Caenorhabditis elegans: one gene and its partners. The protein of the gene in region 1 interacts with the protein of each later gene in a pairwise test. Each region holds a gene or a part of one and is shown on either strand. Other genes may lie near its edges.

The links. Proteins that work in one complex are often made in the same cells at the same time.
Region 2: the proteins of skr-10 (region 1) and W08F4.12 interact in a two-hybrid assay, tested with the Caenorhabditis elegans proteins (one large-scale study listed by BioGRID).
Region 3: the proteins of skr-10 (region 1) and nlr-1 interact in a two-hybrid assay, tested with the Caenorhabditis elegans proteins (one large-scale study listed by BioGRID).

The regions. Positions count from the first base shown.
Region 1 is NC_003282.8:15,944,934-15,947,930, forward strand, and holds skr-10 (Skp1-related protein), read left to right. Parts: upstream 1-1,873; coding exon 1,874-2,452; downstream 2,453-2,997.
Region 2 is NC_003280.10:582,472-586,238, forward strand, and holds W08F4.12 (F-box domain-containing protein), read right to left. Parts: upstream 1,947-3,767; 5' UTR 1,920-1,946; coding exon 1,828-1,919; intron 1,590-1,827; exon of another isoform or gene 1,504-1,589; intron 1,082-1,503; coding exon 957-1,081; intron 895-956; coding exon of another isoform or gene 887-894; coding exon 753-886; 3' UTR 543-752; downstream 1-542. Other genes in the region: fbxb-14 (F-box associated domain-containing protein), read right to left, coding at 1-278; W08F4.13 (F-box domain-containing protein), read left to right, coding at 2,365-2,447, 2,817-3,684.
Region 3 is NC_003282.8:12,175,294-12,180,346, forward strand, and holds the start of nlr-1 (Neurexin like receptor 1), read right to left. Parts: upstream 3,043-5,053; coding exon 2,991-3,042; intron 1,780-2,990; exon of another isoform or gene 1,731-1,779; coding exon 1,561-1,730; intron 1,428-1,560; coding exon 1,286-1,427; intron 711-1,285; coding exon 448-710; intron 398-447; coding exon 290-397; intron 167-289; coding exon 106-166; intron 1-105. UniProt on the Caenorhabditis elegans protein: Required for gap junction formation, playing a role in anchoring the cytoskeletal component F-actin to the membrane of adjacent cells and thus facilitating the formation of gap junction channels in embryonic cells, muscle cells and neuronal cells.

The DNA.
Region 1 (2,997 bases):
CTTGGATACGATTTATATAGTATTAATACTGAACTAATTATACACATTAGAAATACTATAGGAATATGACAAGGAAAGTGCTGGAAATTAACTCAAAGATGCATACGTTTTTGTAATTGGAGAGGTGAAAAAAAAATTACTGTTTCTAAAATATACCAAATTTCGGGTAAAAATTAGGGGGTATTTCTCGGGAAAAAAATATTGGACTAATTTGCAAAGAATCAAAATTTAGGTCCGTTTTTATAAAACTGTTATGTTTGTTACTGTATTCTAGCAACTATGTTAATATTTGATCTACAAGTCTCAGACGTAGCAAGGTAGCAACCAAATTGAATTAAGTCGGAAATGGAATAAAAAATTGGAGAAACAAATAGAATGCATTGAAAAATGGAAAAAAAGAAAGAACAAAAAATGCGACTACTCACAATGAGAAGAGAATGTATAAATGACTCCTCACAATCAGGCAGACTGTTTTTTTCCAGAAAACGACTGGGACGCTGCAAATCTAGGTCAATTATTGATATTGGGTAGAGAGAGTTCAATGCATTTCTAGGAGGTTTAGAAAAACAGACAGTGCACCTGCTCTAGGATTTCCCTAACAAAGGTCTTTTCTCTCTAAACCTCGCCTATAACACAATGTCTCATCTCATCCTGTCAAAATTTGACCTACATTTCCAGCGTTTTTAACCGAAGCCAGTTAGGCTATTGGTCATTCTTGCATTTAGCTCTCACCCTGGGCAGCTGCATTTTATTTTTCCTTCTTTTTAAATTTTTTTTTTTTTTGGTTTTTCGTTCTTTTGTTTTATCAATGACCCAGAATCTGTTTGTCTGAAAACCTTAAACTTTAAGCATTCAAAGTTCTAGTCCAATTAAAAATGTTGAACTCTCTAAAACTATAATACCTGTTTGATGCAGTTTTTATAATAAACTATTTTTGAACAAATCCCGATCGAGAAATAAACTTGATAATTACTTAAAGTTGTACCACTAATAAAACCGAAAAATCACTTTAAAATTCGATTACCTATAACCTTAAAAAATATTCTGATCTTCTAAAAACCTCCTAAAATGTAATTTGAGAAAATGTCGCAATATTGCAAAAAAAATTTAAAATCAATTCTAAATTTTGCTATTTCGAGGTGTTATCAAATTTTAGCGCAAGCCTTATTCGAATATTGCATTGGGATTTGCTTTCTTCTTTTTTTTTGTAAAATTCATATCGAGGATATGTAAACCAGTTTGTCAAATTTGTTGCTTTAAACCCCTTTGGATTAATTTAGGCTTACACTATTTCAGACCACTTTTTGATCGATAAAATATTAGGGGCCTCCTCAACAACCTTGTCGGTTGATATTAAACCTTTTTAGACAAATCGATATTTTTCGAACAAACGCAGCGTTCCATGCTGTTGATTTTGCGTGTATAACTCTTCAATCAACTTTAGATGCAATACTATATAAATCTTATCCAAATGTATAACAACCAGTTGAAACAGTCAAATTTTCTTTTTCTCGTCGCGTTCAACTTGACGGCATTTCTCATCATCTCCCTGTGGAAAACTAATCAATACTTTTTGAACAAACGCAGCGTTCCAATCGATCGATTTCTAACATTTTTTGAGGGATAGTCTGTCTGCAGAGTCATTCTATCGTTTATATCTCATTGTGAGCAGTCGTCTACATTTTTTTCTATCTTTCTATACACATTTCAAAACTATTATCTAACGTTGTTACCCGAAATTATAACAGCTGTTAGATACAGTTCTTTTTTTTACTTTTTGAAATCAGATTTTCCTACATTTTCTTAACTTAATCATCTTTCTTTATTTTTTCAACCCATTATTTTTCCAGAAACTACTCTAAAACTACCAACAATGTCCGCTGAAGTCGCTGCCGTTGAAATCCAAGAAGCTCCAGTTGCTGCTCCAATCATGTACAAAGTTGAATCAAATGATGGAACAGTTTTCGAAATCAGTGATGAAGCAGTAAAACAATCAAATACACTCTCCAATCTAATCTCTACATGTGCTCCAGAAGATGTAGCTTCAATGGATCCAATTCCAATTACAAATGTCACTGGAAACATCCTGAAGATGGTCATTGAATGGTGTGAGAAACACAAAGGAGAAGCACTTCCAGTTGATGATGACAGTGTTCCAAAGCATATCACTGTTCCCGAATGGGATACCAACTTCTTGAAAATCGACAACGAAGTGCTCTTCGACTTGATTGTTGCCTGCAACTACCTTGATGTGCCTGGATTAATGAATTATGGATGCAAGATGGTTGCCATGATGGCTATCGGAAAGTCTCCTGATGAGTTGAGAATCATCTTTGCAATTCCAACTGATGAAGAGGATGAAGCTGCTGAGAGAGCTGCAAAGGAGAAGGCTGAAGCTGAGAAGAAGGCGAATGCTGAGAAGGACGCAGCTGAACCATCGACTTCCAAATAATTTCTATGTATCAAGTGTTTTGTGTTTCTTATCAAATAAATAAGTTTGACTGTAATCTTGTTGACAAACATTACACAAAATTTTTATTAACAGTTTCAAGGTGTTGTTTTGAAGAGTTATTCCTAAAATGAAATATTCCATAGCAAGGTTCTAACACAGAATGCACTTTGACTATCTTCTTGTTGAAACATTTGGAAATTTTGAAAAAAAACATCTACTGTTTCAATATGTTGATTTTAAGAGTGAGGCTAAACAAGCAACAGTAAGTTTTTATTTAACCAAAAGCAATTACGTTTGAAAATGTCACAATTAAACCTTATAAACTAGTGTTGAAAGGGCATTCAAAAAAAAACTCGCGTATCTAGTTACTTTAATTCAAAAAATTCAAAAATACCATGCCACTTTTGCGGAAAAGTTTGCAATTTTGTGCGATGCTCAAAAATGTATTCACATATATCAATTTTTATGTTGGAACGTTTACTACCTAGCAACAAGAACTCCAGTAAGCTTCCTAGTCCTGGTTTTCTACTTTCTTGTTTTTTAAA
Region 2 (3,767 bases), on another chromosome or scaffold:
TGAACCAAGAGTTCTTTTCTTATTGGGACCACGACAATCTCCAGGTTCTCTGGATGAGTCCCGAAGAGATGGTGCCCCTGAACTTCCGTGGATGTGGTGCTGCAGCTCGCGATCTTCCTGTTCTCAAAGAGAGAACAAATCGTTTTTATCTCTTCATTCATCCCATTTTCGAGGTTAATGTGGATTTGCCGGTTCTGATGCAAAACCTCGTGGATGTGGTCCAGGAACTTGATAAGTGTGAGGTGAGGAATCTCGATTTCGTCTTCAGATCCTCGCATATTCCTTCTAGCTACCACCCTCGGTGGATTTTCTTTAAATATGAATAAATATCTGTCATTGAGACTGGACCTCAGCCTGATTGTCGAATCAGAGAATGTCAAACTTTCGTGGTTCCCGTTGACTCTGGCAACCGCAGTTTTCGCTTTTGCTGAGAGTAGCGAGATCGAGAATCTGAAATAACATAAGGTTTGGGAGTCAACTTGAAGCTGTTATTTTGGGGTTTCTTCCAAATTAATTCTTTAAAGAATAATAAGAGTTGGAGGTTTTGAGGTTATTACGGTTTATTAAGGATAAATTAATAGAGAAATCACCGAGTTAATGGGACATGTAAGGAGGGGAAAAGGACGATAAGTAACACAAGTAAAAGGAATTAGAGAAGACCTAGAATGAGCGTTTCCGGCTCCTTATATAGGGGAATTGGGCGGGGCCAAGAAAAGTCGAGAATGATGACAATTAGAGTTGGCGCCGGCAATTCAGATCCGCGCGCCGTCCGGTGGGGCGCGCTTGCATCGTGACCTCCAAACGTTGGCAGGCCTAGTCGTTGTCTTGGGCAGCGGTTCTGGCCGGATAACCGTGATGTTATCCGCTACGACATCACTTGCTGGACCTGTAAGACTATACGAAAGTAATGCTCTTGTATGACGGTGGGAGAGTACAAGGATCGTGAAGATTCTTACAATATCTGTCATTGAGACTGGACCTCAGCCTGATTGTCGAATCAGAGAATGACACACTTTCGTGGTTCCCGTTGACTCTGGCAACCGCAGTTTTCGCTTTTGCTGAGAGTAGAGAGATCGAGAATCTGAAATAACATAAGGTTTGGGAGTCAACTTGAAGCTGTTATTTTGGGGTTTCTTCCAAATTAATTTTTTAAAGAATGAATCGTCAGTGGGGATTCAGTATGAATTCAATAGTTCAATTTGACCGAATATCAAAATGAAACTGTCCAAAAATTTTCAGATTGTTAAAGTTTCAGCAAAAGTTTTGGTAAGTTGCCAAAAATGTCTTTTTTTTTTAATTTTTTTCAGTGTACTTTTTGGAACATTGGCTGCATATCACAATAAAACGTTTCAAAAAATTTCTGAAAGTTTTTTATTAACTGCAAAAAAGTGGCAATTACTCAGTTTTTGCCACTCATAATTTTGGAAGTCGACCAAAAAAAAAAGTTTTTTTCTACATTTTTTATGTTTTTCATGTTAATTATTCGTATTAAAACATATGTACCGTATTTCTTGCGAAGAAGTTGCGAAAACCAACGGGATTGTGAGCGAAATTTAGCTTTACATCTGCGAAGAAATTGAAAAAGTCGTCTGAAAAGCTGCAGAAGTTTGCTTAAAAGCTAACATGCCTAATTGTTGTTAAGAAGTTGCAAGAGTATGCTATGAAGTTAGACCGTATTGCCGAGTAGAGTAGAAGTTAGTTTTTTCCAAACTTTTTGAACTCAATAATTGACGAATTGCAGAAGTTTGGAACTGCCGAAAATGGTATATTGCCGCCTACCCTTGCGAACAAATTAGTGTGGAATTAAAAAAAGGTATTAAAACTCACTGCTCAATGAGGCACATTTGTCGAAGAGTAATGCTGATGATTTCTTGTGGTAGAAGCAGAAGAGGAAAAGGGGTCCTAGTTGTGTCACCCATGGCAAGGAATGGTTGTAACTGCTGAAAACTTTCGAATGTTCTTCTTGAAAATCAAGAAAAAAATTAAGAAGACGTAAAGTAACGAAAGAAATTAATTTGCTTGAAAATAAAAAAAAAAGGATAAATGGTCCTTAGAACAAACAGACAAAGAGAAGAGAACATGAAAATAGAGCGTTTTAGAAGAACGCGGTCAGTGTGCGTATTAGTCTTGTTGCAGTCTGATGTGTCGTCTTTATAGTACGCTGCAAAACGAGCACACCTGGGGGACTGTGTGTATGATTACAGTAGACTCCTCGTTAGATGGTGTGAGAACGGGGGGAGGCGAGTGGCATTTTCCAACAAAAAGATATCTGCATTTCTCCCACCCCCTTCCCTCTCCTCTCTCTCTCATCTTTCTCTATCTGCTCAGTACCATCTTTATTATTATACGTGATCTTACATCGGCATGACTACCGTCTCCTTTCCCATCCTTCGTCTCCCTCAATCTATATTTCAAAAAACGCTCAAACAAATGAGCCTAGTAGAACAGTGAGTTTTAATAGAAATTTTAATACTTCTGTATTCTATAGTTAATTTTTATTTGGGAATGTACGAGAATTATTGTTGAATTATCATAGTCTAGGCAACAGCCAAAAGATGAAAGCTATGTCATTCGATAGCCAATACCTTCAATCTGGAAAATGGTCATTTGTGAATTTCCAGAACCTAGCTGACGAAATTTTTAAAATTAAAACTTTACAGATAGTTGTCATAAATTACCAAAATATGCAATATATGTATAGAAAAGAATAGCACACCTTTACAATTAATGCAAAAATATATTTTATTTAAAATGCATGGATCTAACCACAAGTTCCAAATTTATTTTAATGAGTTATTTACATTTTTCATGTTCAGCATCTCTCTATCAGTGCTCTCGAAGAAGATCAAACAACTCATTGCAATGCTAAACAGATGTCAATTGGCTAGCATAATAATTATGAGACCATCGATATTGATAAAGCTAAACACAACCCTTTTTCATGGTTTTCAATTAACTCTCAATAGTAAACAGTCGATTGTTGAGATTCTCCAGTGTATCAGTGGCCGATATCAACTTAAAAAGCTAAATGTACAAGCATTCAGTGATATCAAATGGCTTGAACATATTTTTGAAGTTTTTATTCAAAATCAAAGAGTATCTGTGGAATTCTTTGATTCATCGTTCCATTTCTTTGAAATTGCTAAGAAACATATTAAAGAACTAAAAGTAGTTAGTCTGGGAATAATTAGCTGTTATGACATTAAATATTGTCAGTTGTCTCAAATTTTTCCCTGCCTAGAAAATTTGATTGTTTTAAATGGCCCAATTTCTAAACCTACCCTCACGCAAAACTTTAAAAAACTACAACTCACTTATGGAAAAATGACCCTAGACGATTTATTTTTCTCTAATTGTTCAGAGTTTATCGTAACCTGTGACAGCTTTTCCATCAAAGATCTGAACATCCTTGTAAGACAGTGGATAAGAGGAGCTATCCCCAGTCTCAAATCAATCACTATCCGTTTTCGGAACATTACTGAGAACCGTTTTGATGAATGCGCACTTTTCAAAGAAATCGAGTATACTAGAAAGGAAGAAGTTCAGTCCGTAAAAAGGTTTACAATTGAGAGACATGATGGAACCATCGCGAACGTCTTGCTTTATTCAACAACTCGTTTTTACTTTACTCTCGTTGTTGGTGAATACGAGTGGATTGGACACTTTGCGAGCATATGGATGTAGCTCATTGACTCTGTATTTTTTATTCGCCTGATTGTGAATATTGTTTCTTTTTCAAAAATACAATAAATAATTTATTGATTCTT
Region 3 (5,053 bases), 3.8 Mb from region 1:
GTAAATAAATTGATTCTATAACCTTCTTGTTATTTAGATTTGATTGTTTTTCGTTTTCACCAAATATATATACAAAATCCCATAATCATTCTCCCATGAACTCACCAGTAAATGTAGTCTCAATCCCTTGCGAGAAGTCATCATTTGGTCGTCCTCCAATATGTACCTGCAAGTAAGAGCGATAATCCGCAGATCAACAGACACAACGGGTGGTCCTCGTTCATGAAGGTAATTACAACGGAACGCTTCTCAAATTTCATTCAACAATTGGAACCTCAAGAGCACTCACCACACTATGCAAGTCCAATTTTCGATAAAGACCCGTTGGAGCCGTCTGGTTAAGGAGGACACCGTCAATTGACAGTTGCACAGAGTCGAATTGATGAAGCCATCTCATCTGAAATTAGGTCACAAATGAGATTAATGATCTAAAAAATTAAGGATTACCTCATGCCACCTTCCATCATCCAATGCTTTACCAGCACTTATTCTAGATGGTGTAAGAGATCCAAAATCAAATATAACATGAACAGTTCCATGGATGATCTGTGCAATTAGTACATCTCCTTGATCAGCCATTGAGAAGAAGAATACTCCTGATCTATAGGTTCGAAAGACAACGCAAAGATCATTCTCATACATTGAGACAAGGCCTGCGTGATGAGCTTCTACGGTGTATGAAGAGTCATCAAATGCCGTGATCGGAGTGTCTGAAATAATTTTGGTGTTCAATACATTTTTTTTTAAATAAAGACCGGTTTCTGGGCCTAACCTTTTAAATAAATAAAATAAATACATCTATATTTCAAATTATCCTGACCAGACAAATTTTCAGTGAAGTTTTCATTAATTTAAAATTGGAATGTAGAAATATTTTGGTTAAACCTATAGTCTCTAAAGATTTTTCATGTCTGAAAAACTGAAAATTCAATTAAAAATATTAAAATCAAGGTGTTCATAATCTGTAGGTACCTTTCATTTTCAGGTACCTGCCCATTGTGTCGATAGAAGGCATGCAAGCAAAAACATATGTGTCTCCACAAACCTTCACTTTCATAGCTTTTCATTGGATATTTTAGACATATTAAAACATTTTGAACTTATAATTCAAATTAAAATATTTAAAAAGTGTTCTATCAGTTGACATATTTTTGATACTGTCAAAAACCAAAAACAAGAGGCAATCAAAGTCTACGGTAATTCATTTATCAGTTGCTGAACCTGTATACCAAATAAACATGCATACTTATACTTTTAACAACTCCCACTTTCTCTGTTGACCTACCATAATCACATATCGTGAGAATCAACAAAGGTCCCCTGACATCTTCTGTCGCTTGTTCAAACGCCGGAAATATGCGAACTTCAGTGGCTAAAAAGTCAACATGTGTCCACGATGGTGTATTTGATAACGTTGAATAGAGGACCTGAAACGACATGGTTTTTCATGTTTCTCTTCGCACATTAATCTTGTCGCCCTCAAACAGATGGAGGGGACACTTTGTGTTTTTGTCGGTGTCTCTAGATAAGAGATAATTCCCTTGAGGGATGGCATCGTACCAGTGGATTTCCATTCGAGAGTCGAACCAATTGAAAGTCGTCATCCGAGATGGACACCTTGACGTGATATGCAGAAATATGTCCACTGACCGACAAACGTGTCACTCTCTTTAGACCGTCTAATTTCGATGCGACGGATGAGAAGGAGACGTCGCTACATTCGCCCGAGCCTGCAAGAAATTTGTAATATTTTCTTTTGATCTTTTTTGGGTGGTGTCCAGAGACATGTGTAAAAGGTCTTTGTTAAACAGGATTATTTCGGTGTGACGAGTTGAGCCATCTGCGATGACTCGTAGTGCTAATCCAGGAGACTGGTAGGACACCCTTCGGTTATGTTTTGAGAGACGAGAAGCCACATTGCATAATACAATTATGGTTTTCGGTTAGAGCATATGTGAAGGATCAAAGGATTGAAAGAGACAAAGTGGACTAATTTAGTTATTTTCTTGTTTGAGATGGTTTCTTTAATTTAACAATTCAACTATGCACAAACGTTTGATAAGAAAAAAAAAAGAGTTGCAAAAATTTGATGGAAAGCGTCAAACTTTCACTGAATGTTTCCAAAGTTTGATAGGAAACTTTCAGTTGTTTTTAAATAGAATTTTGCCAGAGTTTAGCAAAGAGTTGAAAGAAAATTCCCAAAATTCAACAGGAAGTTTCCAAAGCTCTATAGGATTTTGCTAAAGATTCGATAAAATGTTGCCAATGTATGACAGCAAGCTCTACTCAAATGGCTAAAATTAGGTTGGAACATTTTTAGTTTGGTATACCGAAATTCAAATATCGTTCTGGTTCACAGAACGACAAAAATTTTCCAACAAAACTACCCAATTACAGAACCCATGTAAATCCTTGAGCTCTTAAGAGTATCCCTAAACCTAAAAGAATTTGTGCCACTTGAAAAGATAGAGAGCGTGTGTCCAAATTGTAGCCTTTCCGTGTTCGCTCAAATGAGTTGCATGGGGGAGGTGACCACTCGAATTCAAATTCACGAATTTCCGGTCCTCCAGAATCCTGACATCTTTTCAAAAAGTATGCTCAACGGATACTCAAAGGACTAAAGCATTTAGGATGAACAACAACACATTCTAACCGACAGATGGTTTTCCTCTCTCTCTCTCTGTTTCGCTCATTATTCATAGACCCCCACTGCTGACGATTTAGTGTCCAATGACACCTGCCGTTCATTGGTTTTTGTGGTTTTTTTGTGTCTTCTCGGTGATGCTCAATGTTTGAGTTATGGCTTTAGTTCATCTCATCCAACAAAAAGATCGGAAACGAGAATAAGAACATTTTGGGGCAACCTTCCGCTAATCCCCTAGTCGTCTATTAAAAGGGCAAGTGGTGTCAAAAGTCGCAAGAAATATAGAAATTGGTGTCCGTTCTCTTGATGGAAATGAAATTAAACGATTCCCTCGTTAGAAACTCACTTTGTGAAACTGCAAAGATGGAGAGAAGAAGCACAAGGCAAAGGCCACTCATTCGAATCCGGAGGGCATATGTGTGTGGGGGAGAGTTTTTCTGAAAAAAAAAACAGTGAGAAAGGTTTAATGGAGAAGCGTTTAGCACGAAAAAGTGAGCAAATATTAGTTTTTTACTCCTTCATTTATTGAGGATATCGATGAAATAATGAAACAGTTGAGCACACAGGGGGGGAAGGGATTTTGAAATTGAGATATTGAAAAATGCAAAAAAATTGAAAAATGCATGTTAAATTTTAATGTATTAATGTACCTGCCTATCTGCCTACTGCCTACATTTTTTGTAATTTTTCAGATATACGCATAGTGCGCGGTAACGAGGTACGAGGTAAGAGTAGGTTGCCTTTAAGGTGAGCAGGCAGGCAGGAAAATGTGTGCCCGAATTTCTGAAATCTATTATATTTTTTGATAGCTCATATCTTGCATATTTGAAATTATCAAAAAAATTTACAGTTGGTAAAATGTAGAAAAATCTTGAACCTACATTTTAGCAATTTAATATTTTTTGATAAAATCAAAAGTAGCTGAGATATCAACTGGCAAAGTGGAGCTGTAACGGTGCAAAACTATTTGGAAAAATACGAAGAATGTCTTTTCATATATTGGTTTTAAAAAAAGTAAAAAAAAAATTAAATAAAAAAAATAAGCGAGATTTTTGAATAGTTTAGTAGTCAACTAATTTGAAAAAAACCTTTGCAAATATCAAGTTTTAAAAAAGTTCAAAGCATTTGCATTCTACAAGTCGAAAAATGATGTAATAATTCTTCGAGCAATCGAGAGAAAAAATCACATTGAAAAATCACATTTTTTCGAGCAAGAAAAAAAATAAACGATTTACGAAGAAATCATCAAAATGGAGATACGGGGCGTCGGAAAAGGAAAACTGGTGGAGGGAAAAGCAATTCGTAATTCATCATCTGAACGTCTCAATAGTGGCAAAACAATAACAATTGGATGCAATTACGGGCGGTGCATTGCTTTTGAGATCGAACCTTTCCGAATAGGAAAAGCTCGTTGGCGGGTAAATGAACAAAGGATCGTCTGGGGTTGGTGTGGTCGGGAGAGGAAGAAAGTTGAGATTTCCTGTACTTATTCATAAGATATTTAAAATGACATAATTGCAGAGCTCGATGAGGTACGTTAAATTATTATTTCTTATTTTATGTATACCAAATATTGTGTAAATGAGGAAAAAAGGCTACGGTTTTGTACGTAACTAATTTAGGCTTGCCTCTCGCCCATTTTCCAAATTTTAATGTGGGCTTTTGTTAGAGAAAAAAAAAATAGATTTACGCAAGACCACCACTCTAAGAACATGCAGGCACTTTTGCACTTGTGCCTGCAATGGAAATTATTTGAATGTAAGTTATAGAAGCAACAAGTAACAGGGTAGTAAATAACAGATTTTATGTGTAATTTTGCAAAAGTTGTGAGCCAGGCGTAGGTCGCCTTGAAGGCAGGTAGGCATACATTTTTGTGGCCCACGGAGAATGGCTTACAATTTAAAACAACAACTTTTTGAAAAGTTAGCTCTTAGAAAAAAAAGTCATTGAAAATGTGGTTGACTTATAATTAGAAGAACTTGAAATTTTCTAGATTTTTTGAAGACCAGTTCTCAATTTTTAAACTTTAAAAATCTTCGCTAAAATATTTTTTAAAAATATAAAAAAGACTACGCACACAATTTGAATGAAAGTAGAAAACCATGCTCCTAAAAAATTTCGATACAAATTTTATTCAAACAAAACGGGAGAAGAGTGCTGAAAATTGCAATAGTTAGAAAAAATGTTTTTTATATTCCTATTATGATTTTTATGTGTTTTATGGGCTAATGTTCAAAAACCTAAAATTTGAGAAAACGCTCGAACTTTTCGAGGAAGAAAACACATGAAACCTAGAAAGAAATAAAACAGCTATCCTAAAAAATTTGATTGTGTAAAGAGTATTGTGATAGTGGAGAGATTAGAAGAACAGAAGTTACAAATTGTTTTCTTGGTGCACACGGGGTGTGT